Linked DNA regions of Drosophila melanogaster. The protein of the gene in region 2 interacts with the protein of the main gene of each other region in a pairwise test. Each region holds a gene or a part of one and is shown on either strand. Other genes may lie near its edges.

The links. Proteins that work in one complex are often made in the same cells at the same time.
Region 1: the proteins of CG14667 (region 2) and Alp6 interact in a two-hybrid assay, tested with the Drosophila melanogaster proteins (one large-scale study listed by BioGRID).
Region 3: the proteins of CG14667 (region 2) and Klf15 interact in a two-hybrid assay, tested with the Drosophila melanogaster proteins (one large-scale study listed by BioGRID).

The regions. Positions count from the first base shown.
Region 1 is NT_033778.4:9,558,733-9,565,299, forward strand, and holds Alp6 (alkaline phosphatase 6), read left to right. Parts: upstream 1-2,905; 5' UTR 2,906-2,966; coding exon 2,967-3,036; exon of another isoform or gene 3,037-3,516; coding exon 3,517-4,673; exon of another isoform or gene 4,674-4,741; coding exon 4,742-5,062; 3' UTR 5,063-5,139; downstream 5,140-6,567. Other genes in the region: Or45b (odorant receptor 45b), read left to right, coding at 866-1,389, 1,448-1,635, 1,695-1,870, 1,928-2,026, 2,077-2,229, 2,286-2,336.
Region 2 is NT_033777.3:5,373,100-5,378,511, reverse strand, and holds CG14667 (uncharacterized protein), read right to left. Parts: upstream 3,491-5,412; 5' UTR 3,422-3,490; coding exon 3,296-3,421; intron 3,235-3,295; coding exon 2,588-3,234; intron 2,526-2,587; coding exon 2,412-2,525; intron 2,356-2,411; coding exon 2,229-2,355; 3' UTR 2,052-2,228; downstream 1-2,051. Other genes in the region: 7B2, read right to left, coding at 702-1,513, 1,562-1,580; hd (humpty dumpty), read left to right, coding at 4,015-4,062, 4,122-4,279, 4,337-5,412.
Region 3 is NC_004354.4:4,769,129-4,774,085, forward strand, and holds Klf15 (Kruppel-like factor 15), read right to left. Parts: upstream 2,461-4,957; 5' UTR 2,390-2,460; coding exon 1,454-2,389; 3' UTR 1,429-1,453; downstream 1-1,428. Other genes in the region: CG15472 (uncharacterized protein), read right to left, coding at 41-946.

The sequences.
Region 1 (6,567 bases), on a different chromosome or scaffold from region 2:
CGCCTGACCCACATCTCCTGCTGATTTGAAATTCGAATTCGTCGTCGCGAGTTCATCGGCACTCCGGCAAACTTCCCACAACAAGCCAAACACACAGCAAAAAGGCTAAACACAAATTTATGCTCGAAACCCACAACACAAGGAGCTCATATTTATGGATGCTGGTTTCGCTGGTCGCAGGCCAAGAAGTGCTTTAAAATGCTTGACGAATTCCTTCTTCCTTCAGCGAGCTTATATAATCAACGATTCTCTTAAGAACAAGTATATGCGGCTATGGTAAAAATGTTAAATGTTTTAAAAAATTCCGAAATATATACACAAATTATAAAACTGTCATAGCTCAAGTCGCATTAGTTTGCTAATGGATTTTGACATTAAGATAATTTAATAAAATATATATAGATAGTATTTGGTACATAAAACTAAAATAGTTCTTATTAACCTTAAGAACGAAAACTAGTACGCATACTTGATCATATATATATATAAAGTATTGATATTTATTTCCATTTTAAAACAATTGAAGAGGATTCTTATGTAACAAATGTATCTTAGAAATACCTTAGAATATCTTCAGATTTGACTTACGAGCTTGACAGCTGTCTTCAACTGTTGTAGCAATCACAAATATCAAACGATATCAACGGATTAAGGGAACCTTTTTTAATTATAAGGGCTGGCTCATTACCATAATAACATGTTTTGAACGTCAGAGATCGTCGCCCACTCAATTATGTCCTTCAAGTAATCCCGTCATTAAACACGACCAGGTGTCGTTTGTTCGGACTGCAAAACAATTATTAAACCATTAGGAGGTATGAATGGGGCGCTATATAAGGAAAGGGTTCTGTAAGCGGTTAAAATCATGTATCCGCGATTCCTCAGCCGTAACTATCCGCTGGCCAAGCATTTGTTCTTCGTCACCAGATACTCCTTTGGCCTGCTGGGCCTGAGATTTGGCAAAGAGCAATCGTGGCTTCACCTCTTGTGGCTGGTGTTCAATTTCGTTAACCTGGCGCACTGCTGCCAGGCGGAGTTCGTCTTCGGCTGGAGTCACTTGCGCACCAGTCCCGTGGATGCCATGGACGCCTTTTGTCCTCTGGCCTGCAGTTTCACCACGCTCTTCAAGCTGGGATGGATGTGGTGGCGTCGCCAGGAAGTAGCTGATCTAATGGACCGCATCCGCTTGCTCATCGGGGAGCAGGAGAAGAGGGAGGACTCCCGGAGAAAGGTGGCTCAAAGGAGCTACTATCTCATGGTCACCAGGTGCGGTATGCTGGTCTTCACCCTGGGCAGCATTACCACTGGAGCCTTCGTTCTGCGTTCCCTTTGGGAAATGTGGGTGCGTCGTCATCAGGAGTTCAAATTCGATATGCCCTTTCGCATGCTGTGTGTGATGTTGTAGCATGTCAGTGAGGATTAGATGTTCTGATTAGATGTTCCACAGGTTCCACGACTTTGCGCATCGCATGCCCTGGTTTCCAGTTTTCTATCTCTACTCCACATGGAGTGGCCAGGTCACTGTGTACGCCTTTGCTGGTACAGATGGTTTCTTCTTTGGCTTTACCCTCTACATGGCCTTCTTGCTGCAGGCCTTAAGATACGATATCCAGGATGCCCTCAAGCCAATAAGAGGTGGATGGTCCATTATGCATATGGCTAACATTAAATTCGGGTGTATACTTTCTAAATAGATCCCTCGCTTAGGGAATCCAAAATCTGCTGTCAGCGATTGGCGGACATCGTGGATCGCCACAATGAGATAGAGAAGATAGTCAAGGAATTTTCTGGAATTATGGCTGCTCCAACTTTTGTTCACTTCGTATCAGCCAGCTTAGTGATAGCCACCAGCGTCATTGATATACTATTGGTAATAGCCGTCCTTTTAAGTGATAAGCACACTAACTCAAACCAATAGTTTCTATAGTATTCCGGCTATAACATCATCCGTTACGTGGTGTACACCTTCACGGTTTCCTCGGCCATCTTCCTCTATTGCTACGGAGGCACAGAAATGTCAACTGAGGTGGGACAGGTCGAGTCTCTTGATTAACCTTTGACCTCTTTCATTTCTAGAGCCTTTCCTTGGGAGAAGCAGCCTACAGCAGTGCCTGGTATACTTGGGATCGAGAGACCCGCAGGCGGGTCTTTCTCATTATCCTGCGTGCTCAACGACCCATTACGGTGAGGGTGCCCTTTTTTGCACCATCGTTACCAGTCTTCACATCGGTGGGTTATAATCTGTATGGCACTTAGTGCAATCCACTAATGAAACCCTTTTTTAGGTCATCAAGTTTACAGGTTCGATTGTGGCACTGGCTAAGACGATACTGTGAAAAAGAGTGTTGAATTAAAAAATAACCAAGTACTTAAATTTAATAGCTACTATTTTGTATTAGTTTGTGGTTGCAGCCTAGCCCAAAAGTATGCAATTTACACAATACATATACAATTGTGCAGACTCGAAGTCAATTAATTGCCGGGGTCAAGGGTTCAAATGTGGGATTAAAGGGCTTGCCGTAAAGTTTGAACCATAAAGTTTTCTAGTAGCAGTGAAACCATTTATTCTTCATCGTTTAACAAAGCTACTGGCATGATTCAATAAATTTGAGTGCAATAAGTTAGCAATGTTTAAAAGTTGAGGCAAACAGGATTGCCCCGGCTTCAGATTGATTACGTAGGTCGTAGTATACGCAATCGGTTAATGGACAGAGAATCAAAGCCATAAGAAAGGCACGTGAGTGTGTTTTGGCATCGGTTTCGGTCTGTTCTACGACTTCTGTCAACTTAAACTTGGCCAGCCATAAATGATGATTTGATTGAACCGTCTAGATTAGTTTCCTTTGATTAGATTTACTCTGATACTGAGCGATAGCTCCGAGGCAGCGCCCAGTTCCTTGGTCGGTCAGTCGGTTTAGTCTTTAACCAAGGTCTGACCTCCACACCACGCCTGGGATTAGCTGAAAATGGCCAGGAGATTCATTCTGTTGCTCGTCTTAGCTGTCTGCCTGAGCGGAAGTGCCAGCGGACAAAGAGGTAAGGTGCTCTGAAGCTGGATTTTAGAACTCAGCGATACCTCAAAAGTGTTTTTATTTAGAATAGTTCGAAAATGTTTAGGTATTTGAATTTATTTTGTTTTGTACGCCAGTTCAGGGAATTTATTTTACAAGCAGCTTAACTATTTAGATAACTACGAGTATAAAAACATGTCAGATTTTATGTTTGTCCTCCCAAAGGATGTGTTATTTTGACTGGCGCTGACTTGAGATTCAGCGTGCAGGACGAGGTACTTTGAGATTAAGTTCTTTAAAATAACTTCTTATCTTCCAAGTTTACTTGAAAAAAATGTGTAGAGGAGATAAGACTCAAATAATCCCATTGATATATAACAGAAAATCCAAACCCAAAATTATTTATGATCCTTCTATTTTTTGACCAATGCTAATAGTTATATTGGCTTATCGGAAACCTCTTATTGTTATAGTAATTATTGAACTATTTTGCCATTCTTTTCAGACCACCCTCGTGGGCGTTCCTTTGATGCCGAATCGCATCCGATCAAGTATGCAGAGGAGCAGCAGACCCAGTACTGGGTGGATAAGGCCCAGGCGAAGCTGTTATCGAAGCTGGCCGAGCAGGAGTCCGCGACCACAAACAAGGCGAAGAACGTGATTCTGTTCCTGGGCGATGGAATGTCCGTTCACACGGTCACGGCCACCAGGAATCTGCTAGGCGACAGTGCGGAGCAGGTGTACTTTGAGGGATTTCCCTACACTGGCTTGTCCAAGACCTACTGCGTAAACCGCCAGGTGGCCGATTCTGCTTGCACGGCCACCGCCTATTTGGGCGGTGTGAAGGCGAACTATGGAACGATTGGCGTTAACGCCAATGTGTCCAGGTACAGCTGTGATGGCGCCGCCAACGAGGAGGATCGGGTGCTCAGCATCGCGCATTGGGCACAGGCGGCTGGCAAGGATGCAGGTCTGGTGACTACAGCCCGGGTAACTCATGCATCCCCAGCTGGTGTTTATGCCCACATCGCGGATCGCAATTGGGAGAACGACTGGGAGGTGGCCAACAGGGAGTGCGATCCCGAGCAGACCATCGATATTGCCCGTCAGCTCGTGGAGCAGCCTGTGGGTCAGCAGCTGAAGGTAATCCTTGGAGGCGGTCGCAAGAACTTCATCGACGCAACGGTAAATGATGAGGAGGGTTATCCCGGCAAGCGTACCGACGGTCGTCACTTAATCCGCAGTTGGTTGGATCAGAAGAAGGAGGCCAATGTCTCAGCCAAATACGTGTGGAGTCGCAAGGGACTCAGTCTGGTGGATCTCGAGAATACGGACTACCTATTGGGTCTCTTTGCCAATGATCATCTGCCGTACAACGGTGATCGGGACAGGAAACGTAGTCAGTTGGCGGATCCTTCGCTGAGTGAGCTCACGGAGGCTGCCATCACGGTGTTGAGCCGCAATGACAAGGGATTCTTTCTCTTCGTCGAGGGTGCTCGTATCGACATGGCCCACCACGATACCTTCGCCAAGAGATCCCTCGAGGATACCGCCGAGTTTGCGAGGGCTGTCCAGAAGGCTCGCGAACTTACCTCCGAGGATGACACACTGATCGTGGTGACCGCTGATCATGCTCATGTTATGTCCATCAATGGTTATCCTGTGAGTACTTGAAAGTTTCCTTTCTAACAGCGATAGGTATTTGACTTATGATTTCTGAATTCCGGCAGTATCGTGACCAGGAGATCACCGGATTGGCTCAACTGGCGGATGATAATCTGCCCTATACGATTTTGTCCTATGCCAATGGACCTGGCTACTACTCCGGCTACAATCGCGCTGAGGGACGTGCCCTTCTAAAGGAGAAGTTGGTTGCGGACTCAGACTATCAGTATCCCACGCTGGCGCCCTTGGACGCAGAAACCCACGGAGGAGATGATGTGGCGGTGTATGCCTCGGGACCCTATGCCCAGTACTTCAGTGGCAACTACGAGCAAAGCAATATTCCGGCGCTGATGGCCAGAGCAGCGGGTATCGGGCCCTATGCCTAGGATTTGGCTGATTTTCTTGGCGCATGTAAAACTCCTCTCGCTGAGATGGAATAATTAAAATGCATCATTGCTAAACGAATCTTGCATGGGAAACTGTACCGGGAATGGGGCAAATCGAATTCCGTCTAATTGAACTGACAAGCTGTGCAATTTCCTGTGGAGCAGGGGAGCTGCCCCCCCAATAAATGCCACCTGACGGCAAATTCAATTAACTAGCAATGGCAACTGGCATCTGACAACCTGCAGGCAGCCTCAATCAGTCAGCTGCAATCACTTTGGGGCTGAGCCAATTGACCAGGTGGTTTCTGGCCAAATGAAGAGAGAAACGCGGCCAGAAAGAATGGCCAGCCATCAGCCATTATATGTTTCATCATAAATCCCAGAAAATATGACATTCAAATGGAATCCATCGACAATCCGTGCATTTCCTGCTTTAAAGATGGCTATGAATATCTAAGTGGATTTATTTAAAATGGGCTTTGACTGTCAAAGAAATACATTCAATGGATTCAGGTTGGAATCGTCAGCAAGGTAACAAAAATCAGCGCTGAAAATCCTCCTGGAAAAAATTTATCATATCTTTCCGAAGGATAAGGCTTTAAAATTAACATTTTTCCCATATTTTCAATCGCACCTCTATAAGAATGTTTCATTTTGGATTCAGTTAATGCATAGTGTTCCAGTTTTATATGGATATTTCGGGACCCTGGAGTCTCAAACTCCATTTTGCATCATTTTGATCTTTTGAACCTATTATCAAATAATTTCCCATTGAAACTCCCGTTCGAATGATTGAATTAGGATTCCCATTTGGTGTCAACATGCGATGATTGACGATTCCGAAAGGCGAACAGAAATATTTGGTAATGGGTTGTGTTCCATTTCCGATTTCACTTGGCCTGCGACAGAATTTTATTTTCGGCCAATTTCCGCTACAATTTCTGTTTAAGAGGAGCCTCAGTTTACCGAGTCTCGATTTGTGTGGTCAAGAGAAGGCCCAGTTTCGACTGGACTGCACCTAATCATAGGGTTTTTGGCCAAAGCGGCAGTGCAACGGGCCTAGAGAAACTGAAACTGGGTCATCATGACCCAAGTGCTGGCTAATGGGGAGGGGGCGGGTGCGCTGGCGGGTACCAAATAGCTCCAAAGAAATGCAGCTGCGGTCTGGTTCTTGGATATTCCAACGCAAGGCGGGGGGGTTCTACCAATTATGTATATCTGTATCTGCAGGGACAGAAGAAGAGAAAAAACTAATGGCAGCATACACAAAATGTGCTCACAACTAATGGTTGCTGCTTTAGCTGACTCAGCCAAGAAGCTTGCCGCAAAGATACAAAGATACGCCGTCACAGATACAAAAAACACGTGACTGTGTTGGAGCAAACTGGACTGAACTGGCGAGCTTTTTAACGAAACTCCATATCCGTCTCTCTCGCACGGCGCGCGCGCACTTCTAAGCCGATTCAAATGGCCATGTAGAGCCACAAAGCTGCAGCGCCGCTCTT
Region 2 (5,412 bases):
GGATTGTGTTGTATAGTATGTATAGGGACGCGAGTGAGAGCCAGGACACTCTGGCTCAGAAGGATCAGGTCGTTCATAAGGCTTCATGGCAACAGAACGAACATTATGCTTAGCTAATCACACTGCCAGTGTCGATGTGTGCCAATAATTGGGTGGCTGATCGCCCACTGTGGCAGCAACATTCATGCGATGTACTATACTATCATTTGTTAGGTTATCTTTAAGTCAATACCCGCGTGGATCATCCGAAACACGCGGCCAGTGCATGCTGACACAAAATACTCAACGTGGAGCTGAACCGCAGTGGCCTATTTGTACACTCGACGACATATCGAGGATAGTTCTTTTTAAATGAATAATCATTGATGATTTGATGGATTGTAAAACTTTTTAAAACAATAAATAGAAGCATCAAACAGATATTCGATATTTCTCACTCTCATCAAACTTGGGTCATCCCAAGGATAAGCTACATCCGAACCCACCTTCGGTAGTGGAGACCCTACCCCAAGTTTAGACCAATACCCGCATATTTTCGGCTTAGAGCCCTGGTACTATACGAATAACTTTATTTTCGGGAAAGGGTAGAAACATTACTAGACATCGCTTGCGGGACAACATTGATAACCAGCTATGATAGATAATAGTATTAGACACCCATATGGAAACGTCGTGTATGCTCGCGTTATCAGCGAGTTACCTTAGTGGAATAAAAGGTTGCCCTTCTTGGCGGCTATGGGCAAGCGGTCGCCCTGGAGGAACGGGTTTATGACCGCGTCGTCCAGCCGAGGATCGGGCATCACAGGATATCCGGCCTTCTTAGCCAGGCTGTTAACGTTGTTCAGGCTGTTCTCCTGGCCCATCTGCATGATGTACTGCTCCACGGCGGAGTTCAGGTCACCCTTGTCGCCGCCCACATCAGCACTATCCTGTTCCGAGCAGTCGAACATATGCTCGTTGTCGCAGGTACAGTCCTGAGCGGCCTGGAACTCCCGGCTGAAGATGGCCGTGTTTTCGAAGTCGACAATGCAGCTGCCGCCTTGCGTCTCCATGTCGTAGCCCTCAGGGCAGGGATTAGGAGGGTTGCAGTAGGCAGGCAGGCCGGCGTCGTTCTTCACTATAGTGGGATACCTGTTGGGACCCTCTCCCATTCCGCCGGAGATGAACTGGTGACCCCACAGCGAACTGTGCTGCAGAAACTCGTCATCCCGCAGCGAAGGATGGGAGGCAGCTCCCGATGCCGAGCCCGATTGCAGGATGCAGTCGCTTCCGCCGTCACACAGCCTCGCGTACTCCGACCGGGAGACCAGGTCCACGTTGTCCTTGGAGCCAGCGGCTGCCTCGTTGCCCACGTCGTAATAGCCCACCTGCATGTCTTTGTCCATGCGATTCAGCAGATCCGTCATCAAGACATCGGCAAGAATATCCTTGGCGCTATAGGACTGCACCTGGTAGCCACTCAAGGCGACCACGAGCATCGCCACCATCATGTACACACCTGGAAAAACATGGGCTATTCTCTTACCTCACCCACCTATAAATATTACTTCAGCAGACTTACTTTGCGAACGGAACAACATATTGCGATTCCAAGCGGTTTCAACCGTCCACGTCGAAGTTTGGTAAGGTATTGATTTTTCGGCGGCAGCTGCTCCGATTCCGTGTATATACTAACGTGACGTAGGGCTCTGTGCTTCGTGCGGCGGCTACCAGTTGAATTTGCGAAATATACGCAGATCCAATCGAAGCTGCCTTATGGCAGCCACAGCTGAAAGGACGCATGCGCCGTACTCGAAAGCTCTTTTATGTTGAAGCAGTCCTGTGGGGGGCCGAGAATTAGATTAGCGCCAAACTGCTGGAGCTGAGGTTTTCAGGCCTCTTTAAGCTTTATTAGTATAAAATGCTGGAAGAAAATAAGAAAACTTAGTCGCTAAGAAAACTTTATTTTCTTGAATTGTATGACTAGAGGTTTATGTTACACGGTAATACGCTATAAATTTCCATTCCCTCCTTAATTTAAAAGTATGAACTATAAAAAATGACTTGAAAGTAAAACTGAAGGAATTTTATTTTCAATAAATTAAAAATACACTTATAAAAAAATAACATTGAACCGATACTCCATTGTCGAATATTATGGTAGCGAAGTAGTAAACTGAACTACTCAATTATGATTTATTTTTTTGACCTTAGCATTTACTTAGAAAGAAGGTGGTAATAATTGAGGGTTAGGTTGCCAATTCGATGAAATCGAATTCATCCTGCATATATTTGGCAAGGCGCTTATGCGGTGCTGTTTTTGTATGGGCCACCAAGCCTCGGCGAGTTATAAAATCCATGTTGCAAGGCTCACACCTAAACGCAAAAAATACGATATTAAGACATATGACTGCGCAAGCTGACAAGCTTACCTGAACTTTCGGATTTGCTTTGAGTGTGTCGAAAAGTGGTTCTGCAATTCGGAAACGCTGCTGAAGATCATTCCGCATTCTAGGCATGGATAAGGTCGTTCGTTCTTATGGGCTCTAAAATGAAATTGGAAGTTGCATATAGTGCTGCGCTAGCATTCAATTCCCAGCCTCCTTACTTGTCGTGCCGCAACTTAGCGCCCAGAGACGCGAAAGCCTCGTGGCAGATGGTGCACTGGAACCTGCGGTTAATTAAATGAACCTGGGTGCGATGCTGCTTGAGAAGCGCCTTCTTGTTAAAAGTCTGTGGGCACTCAGGGCAGGGGAAGAACTGGTTCATATCCCGCCGGTTCTGGTGCCCATTTAAATGCTCGGTGTACAGGAACGCATCGTGGAACAGGGTTCCACACTCGTCGCAGATAAAGAAGTTACTGCGCCTCTTGGCGGCCCGCTCCATTTCCTGCTCCTGTAGATCCTCCTGCTGCGCCGCTTCTGCTGCCGCCTCTGCTGCCGCTATCACAGCGGCAGAGGGGTCGTCATCCAGCTCGATTTCCTCTAGGTCTTGGTGTTCCTCTTTCGTGCCTTGATAACAAACGTACTGGTCGTCATCGTAGTGCGTCTCCAATTGATCCGCATCGATCAGTTGCTCGTCCAGCGGCTCGGAACTAAGCTCAACGTGAACAGTGCTTTGATCACTGGTCTTCTTTATGATATCCAGCAGGTACTTTTGCGAGAAGATGCACCGCTCGCGGAACTTGGTGGCCAGGTCCAGCTCGGAGAAGCAGCGCTCGCAAACAATCTCCGGCAGCCCCTGGTTTCTTGTCAGCTGAACAAATTCCAGGTAATAACAATTGTTGGCGCGGTCGGAAGCTGACATAACGACCTACCTCCACTCCCGTGATTAGCTTCAGTTGACCCAAATATTTTCCCCGCATGTGAATGAATATGTTGCGATCTCGCTGGTGGCCCATAATTTTGTTGGCGCAAATACGGCAAACGTCGGCGAGGTTCATTGTTTATCAAGTTAATGTGTTTACTTTTAGCATAAAACGCAGCGACGGAAAGTGTTACCAGATCATAAAACAGTTGGAAAAACGACAGTGCTTAATCGATTTGTTATCGGTGAATCCGATAGTCAGATACATTTTTATAGCGCAAAAAGATTTTTTATTCATTTGATTTTATTAATAGTTAAAACGATACAACATGCGCTTGTTTAATTTAGGTTAGAAGCTTGTAAATCCAAAAAGAACCATTAAAATTAAAAAATCAAATTCGATGCCCAACAATGCCATTGTTAACCAACATAGCCCCTGCAGCCAGTGATATACAATTTAAGTTAGTTTCGTTTTGTAAACTACTCCATCTATTATAATAAATAATTAGTTAAATTGTGAGATTCGTTTTATTTGCCGACTAACGATATTTTTGGGAATTGAACATGGGCGAAAATAGCGAATAACGAGCTAATCAATCGAAAGATTTCACACCCCTAGTTGCGCGCCATAATTTTTTGTGATATTTGCAAACGTTTTGAAGATATTTGCAGTTCACAAAGTACTTAAATAATCCGTGAAGGTCCTGTGCGCGAACCAAGACATTGAACATGTCCACCGAAGCGAGTGTGGCTTCCAAATGGACGCGCCCAGATGACGTGGGTAAGGACTCGGAGGAGCACCTGCCCGCCACTAATGTTGTTGTTTCGTTTTCCAGTTCATCAAACTGCAGCGGCTCAAGCAGAAGAAGAACAAATTGGCAGCCCGCGTGAGCAACAACAACAATAGGCGGCCAAGACACCAAGTGGATGAGACGGATAAAAGCAAGCTACTGGAGGCTAAGCTCGCCCAGAAGCGAAAAAATCCGTTTGCGAAGTGAGTTTCCCTCTCTCTCGCTCTCCCCAAAATCCAATTACTGACTCCCTGCCTCAGATCCACAGCTGATGCCAAGAAACTGCGCGTTGATCCGCAACTGGCGGACCTCGAACCAGTGGTCACTGCCTCCTCCTGCTTTGTGCGGGAAACGCCCACGCGCCCGGCGCCCGCCAAATTCGTGCTCCAGAAGTACGACCCGCAGGCCTTTGCCAAGCTCTTCCAGCATCCCCAAATCAACGCTGAGGACGAGGACGATGCGGAGTTGGCCGCCCGGCAGAAGCACACCGCCCACCTACCTGTGGACTGGTCCCTGAAGACGCGAGCCCGTTTCTTCTGTCCCACGGAACTGCCTGCCATCCAACTGAAGACCTCGCAGCTGGCCAGCGGACTCACCAGCTTCGTGCGCTGCATGGACCCGCAGCGAACGGAGAGCACGCTGGATATCTCGGACGCAACGCGGTTCAACCAATGCAATTACTACTGGCAGCACCCGCACCTGCCCTGGCTGACGCTCTACCCGCGCACCGCCAAGGAGAACGTGGGCGTGGTGGTGGGTGAGCGGGAGCGCAAGGCCCTGGCCGAGGAGTGGGACTTCAGCTTCCGGGGCCTATTTCAGCTGCTGCGTGCCCGCCAGTGCCCGTACTTCTACCTGTGTGCCAACACTTTTACGGTGCTGTTCCGAGCTGCCGGAGTTGGCGGTCGGCCGGAGAGCCACGCCTTGGTCACGCCGTCGACTCGGGGAATGCGGCAAGCTCTGCGACAGGAGGGGATCGAGTTCAGCATGCCTCTTAAGAGCGATAACAGTGGAAACGCGCACGACAACAGTTTTAACGAGGAGAGCACTACCACCTCGCTAGGTCCAGAAGCGGGCGAAGATGCTCCTCCGCCGGCACAGGAAGATGAAGACGACGACGAGGACTGGCTGGAGAGCTTGGGCGTGGATGAGCGTGAGCTGCGACGTATCCAGTCCTCCCATGCCAGGAAGCAACAAGCTGCCGAAATGCGAGAGGACTTTAGCGACAACTCCTTGCTGCTGGTCGATGGCGTGGAGTGCCAGGGATTCTTTAGCTATCTGCTAAATGCCAAGAGTGCCATCAGCACAGTGGGCCGTCTGGCCGGAGTGCCTCCCACTC
Region 3 (4,957 bases), on a different chromosome or scaffold from region 2:
CAATTATAAGGTAAAAATAAACAAAATCTCAGGCTGCCGGTTATTCCAAAGGCTCATGCAGGATCAGTTCGAGATGGAGATGATGTTCTGCGCCACATATCTCCTTCAATTCTTGCTGCGTTATCAAAAGGGAATGCCGGTCCTTGGGCAGATCCTTGCCACCGATTTCGGTATACATTTGGCCCGAATTTGCCACACAACGCATGGCGCTCCGGCCAACCGACAAGGTGCTGTTGAATACGGTCATGGCAACGTGGAGTGGTCGGATGCAGGGTGCACTTTGGGTCCAAATTATCAAGATATCGGAGTCCATAATCTCTTCCTGCTCGGCTTCAGTGGTCGTCTTTAGATCGTTATTCTTTTGGCCACTATCGCACCTTTTGATCGATTCTTCACTGCATTTGGGATGCGTATCATTTGAGAAATCTAGATGTTTTACCTGCTTAAGATCTTTTGACTGTTTACCATTAAGATCTTCTTGCGATTCCATTTTTCTGTCCACAAGTGCCCAGCAGAGGAATGTTGTCCTCTTCACCAGCACCATAATGGGCAGATAGTCCTTCAGCGATTCCAGCCCCGAATCCTCTTTCAATCGATTGTGATAACAGAATTCTCGTTCTCCGGGTAATTGGCTATGCTTACCACGCACGCCGCCGTAAAGAAGAACTCCCAGACATATGGTCTGCGTTCCAATCAGCTGAGAAACATCAAAGACCAGGGTACAGCGTTCTCCGTTGAAGGCCACTTGCAAATGCTTTTTCACATTTGATCGGAAATGGCGTTGGGCCAAATGTTGGAGCATATCATCCTTGAAAACGGTGGAAATGCATTTTTCTATGGGACATTGTGCTGGCAGCTGACATAGATGGTTCAGTGTAAGTTTCGTTTGTTTTTCGGGCTCGGTACTGGAGAGGCCAATTAGTCTGAGTGGCTTATTTCGGTCCATATTTCTCGAATTGTGTTGAATGTTTTAAGTATATAAATATAATGTACGCTAATAAATTTTTTGAAGCTATGCAAACGGCCTACTGTTGTTGAAACATCACTGCTTAGTTGGATATAATTGCTCTGCCGCGTAAAATTAGCCTTTTTCATTATATTAATAAATTCGATTTAACTTTTGTAATGAATTAACTTCATGCGTGTAACCCTTTTTCTTTTTATTAAATCATATGCTCCTTTACTCTGCTAAATGAGTTTATCAATGGTTTATGATTTCCGTATTTAAATCAGCAAACACATTTCATTTATGTAAAACAGAGCAGCAAGTAATTATTACCATCAATATTCCCATTCGAAATAAAACTCTTGATAATTTTCCTAACAAAAGAAGGAATACTTCAGCTCTATTTTATGGATATGTTTCCCATGCGAACTAATCTTAAGTGATAAAAAAAAAAAAAATAGTACAAAACGTTAAAACTAACTCATCCATCGTGTCCTTGGAATGTGGTCATAACTGATTCTTTCGCTTTCGACCTGGTCGCACGGCATACAGATCGTCGGAGATCAGGGATCTGCCAGCTCTGGAGGCGGCCAGAAGACGTCTTTCGTGCACCTTACGATGCTTGGTGAGGTGATCCGACCTGGCGAAGCACTTGGAACAGTAGTCACATTTGTACGGCTTCACGCCGGAATGGGAGCGCTTGTGGCGGGCCAGTTCATCGGATCGGGAGAACCGCCAGACGCAATCTGGCCAACTGCAGACGTAGGGCTTCTCGCCTAGATGCCGCCTCAAATGGGCCTTCAGATGCGCGGGCTTGGCGTAGATCTTTTCGCAATTGCCAAAGGTGCACAGGTAACCCCGTTCGCCGGCGGCATTTTCACTCATCTGGAGGGCAGAAGGTGGGGCAACAGCTTCAGCTGGACTGGCGGAATCACTGCTGCCGGGCGAGGAAGACGATCGATCGGGAACGAAAATCTCTGAATGTGGTGGCCCCGACAGCCGCAGATTGCTGTTGCTCTCCTCCAGAAAGTCCGCACAGTTATCCGTGCACAGGGGAGTTCGTTCCGGCAGAAAGTCCACCAGGTCCGGAATCTCTACGTAGTTATCCAGCAGTCGCTGCTCCCAATCACTTAAGTCCGGCGGACATACGGTCAGGTCATTGAAGTCGATGAACAATGAAGGATCCTCCACGTGGGGCAGACCCACCTGGATATTCCCATTAGTATTTGTATTATTATTACTGTCCAATGTGATGATGCCATAATAATCCGACTCCTCGAATTCCAGCTGATTATAGTTGCCACCGGAAAAGCTAGTATCCACATAGGTGCTATCGAATTCCCCAACACTGACTATATTTAGCAGCGCATCGCCGCCGGCCAGTGGCTCCTCTTCCAAGTCGCTGTAAAGCTGCTGGAATCCACCCGTCGCAAAGAAGTCCATGATCGCAAATGAGCGGACTCCAGTCGAGTGTCCAAATATTTATAATATCCACGGACAATCCGGATGAGTGACAGGCGTCGGAAAAGTTGATGAGAGCCATTGAATCTGGTTGGGAATCGCAGGGCATATACCCTAAGTACTTAAAATCATATTGATATGTCATGAAAAGAATGTTTACTTAAATTGTTTCTTTTACAAGTACAATAGTATAGCATACCCTGCGATCTGCCTAGAACAATGGGTATCAAGAGATGCACTCATTGCGATCGTGGCTCGATTGCTTCCAGTGATTGGTGGCCAGGATCCCTTGGGGAATAATTAGCCGGCGAGCAACGTATCTAACGCGCTGCCGGCTTCATTAGTCCGAGACTGAGATAAAGATACATCCATACGTACGTACATATCCATTCGCACCAGATGTTGCGCGCATTGATCGGCGACACATGTGCCCGGGTTTTTGGTGGCCGGGTCCGGGAATCCGCAATGCTATCGAAATCGCTGACGGATGCCGAGTGCCAAGCAGTGTCAGGCCACAGATCGGCTAGCTATATTGCTATATATGTATAGCCGCGCGGCACCTGATCTCCCGCTTTCAGTGCGCCATCTCGCTCTTTTGTTTTTGTTTTGCTCGCCGGACAATCAATACAAATTTGTTATTAATTAATGATTATTACTAGCGAACTAGATATGCCCGGGGGATGGATATGGATATTCCCGGTCGATCATCAGTGTTTCGGTTCCAAGCAAAACAAGTGCGTTTCCTATGTGTGTCAAGTGGAGCCGCAGATATGGTTTTAAATTCACGGAAAGTTATCTGTTTGAAAATATTTTTCTGTTCGAAAATCATTTGGCTTGGCAACGGTCCATTTGCAGCATATGGTCAGTTGGAAAAGGTTGATAGCTAGTCATTTTTTTTTTTTTTTGACAACTCATTTCGTTCATATTTAATACAGACAGTGGTGTGCAATTTACAATTCACTTAAAGTGCATTGTAATGCGCAAGAATGCAGCATTAAAATGTGACCCTGCACGAGCTGTAATATAGTATTCCACCCATTTGCCTTCAACTAGACCCACCCGCCCCCTCGAACGTCTCATTTTCCGAGGCTGTCTGTGCCAGTTTCCAGTTTCCCTTAGCTTTTGCTCCTCGTCTATGCCATTTCCGCATCCTTTTTGGCTGGCAGCCCTTCGGAAATTAACATAAATTTAACGTGCGGCTGGCGTTTAAATTTACTTTCGCCTAATGAAATAATCAGCAGCTGTAAATCCTCATGGGCTGGTATGCCCCCCAACCCACCAATCACGACCAGTTTCACCAGTTTTTGGCGGCCTACGCGTTTTACGCTAATTGATATTGCAAAAATCAAAGGCTGCGCGCCGGCATTAAAGGGATTTAAAGGATATCAACTGGTCTGCGGGTCTGGGACTCGGGACTTGGGATTCTGTATTCCGGATACCGGATTCTGTATTCTCAATTGTGGAGTCTGGCTGTGAGTTCGACTCTGGCACTTTGTAATTACAGCAGGGTATTGCGACTCTGATTTCTGTATATGTGCATAGAATTTCCCTTTGTGTGGCCTCAGTGGAGTGGCAAGGATAACATAAATTAGAATGCTGCCTGCAGGCAGTTCTGGTATTTAGCCGTAGTGCCTGGTCGTCCACTTACTTACAGATTCGTAGGCCAATACAAACATGCACCGGTGGAAACAGGTAGCAGGACATAAAAAGATATATAACTTCGATTGTAAATAAGGTTCGCCTTTGAAACCATTTTGCAGCATATTAATTAAATTCCGAAATATTTGAAATCAAGTGGTTTTTAGATGAGGTTAGTCCGCCCAGCAATTGCAAAAAGGAATTTTCCTGCAGTGTTTTGGGAATGTGTAACCACATCTATCTATCCATCTATCTGCAAATAAATTTCTCCGTTCAAATGTGTGCGTGTGTGTCTGTGTGTGTGCGCACCGCAAGTGTCATAACGGAAATTATGCATACAATTTTACTGTAAATTGCACTCGGCAAAATGTTGTCACCTCAGTTTAATCATAGCACCCAGAACTCGAAACTCCCACTCATTTAAGCCGGACATTTTGAAGCCGTTTGCAAGTATTTACGAAGCAAATCCGAGGACTTAAAGCCGACAACCGGACGATATTATTGCCAAAGTGTCCTCGTTGTCCTGGCAGCAGTCAAATGAGCTAAGCAGTTGTCAGGATATACAAAGTAAGTACATCCATATAGAAGGGGCATACAGATGAAGAAGGGTCACTGCGTCGGTTGCCTAGTAAGTCCGACTTGCCCTTATCAATCGCAGCTGAGCTGCTTGTTTTCATTGGATTAGACAAGTTTGCTTTGCCCTTCCAGTTGCGAATCCGAATCCGCATCCGAGTTCTGAGTTCCCAGTGCCTAGTTACTCAAAGAAAGAAGAACGTTGTGCATGCGGCTTACTTTTGTGGCAAATTAAATCGGTATCTGTATCTGTATTTTGTATCTGCAACTTGTATCTTGTGTTTGTGTACTGTGATTATGGCCATTTAATTTTGCCATTCGGCTGGCGAATTTCTCTGC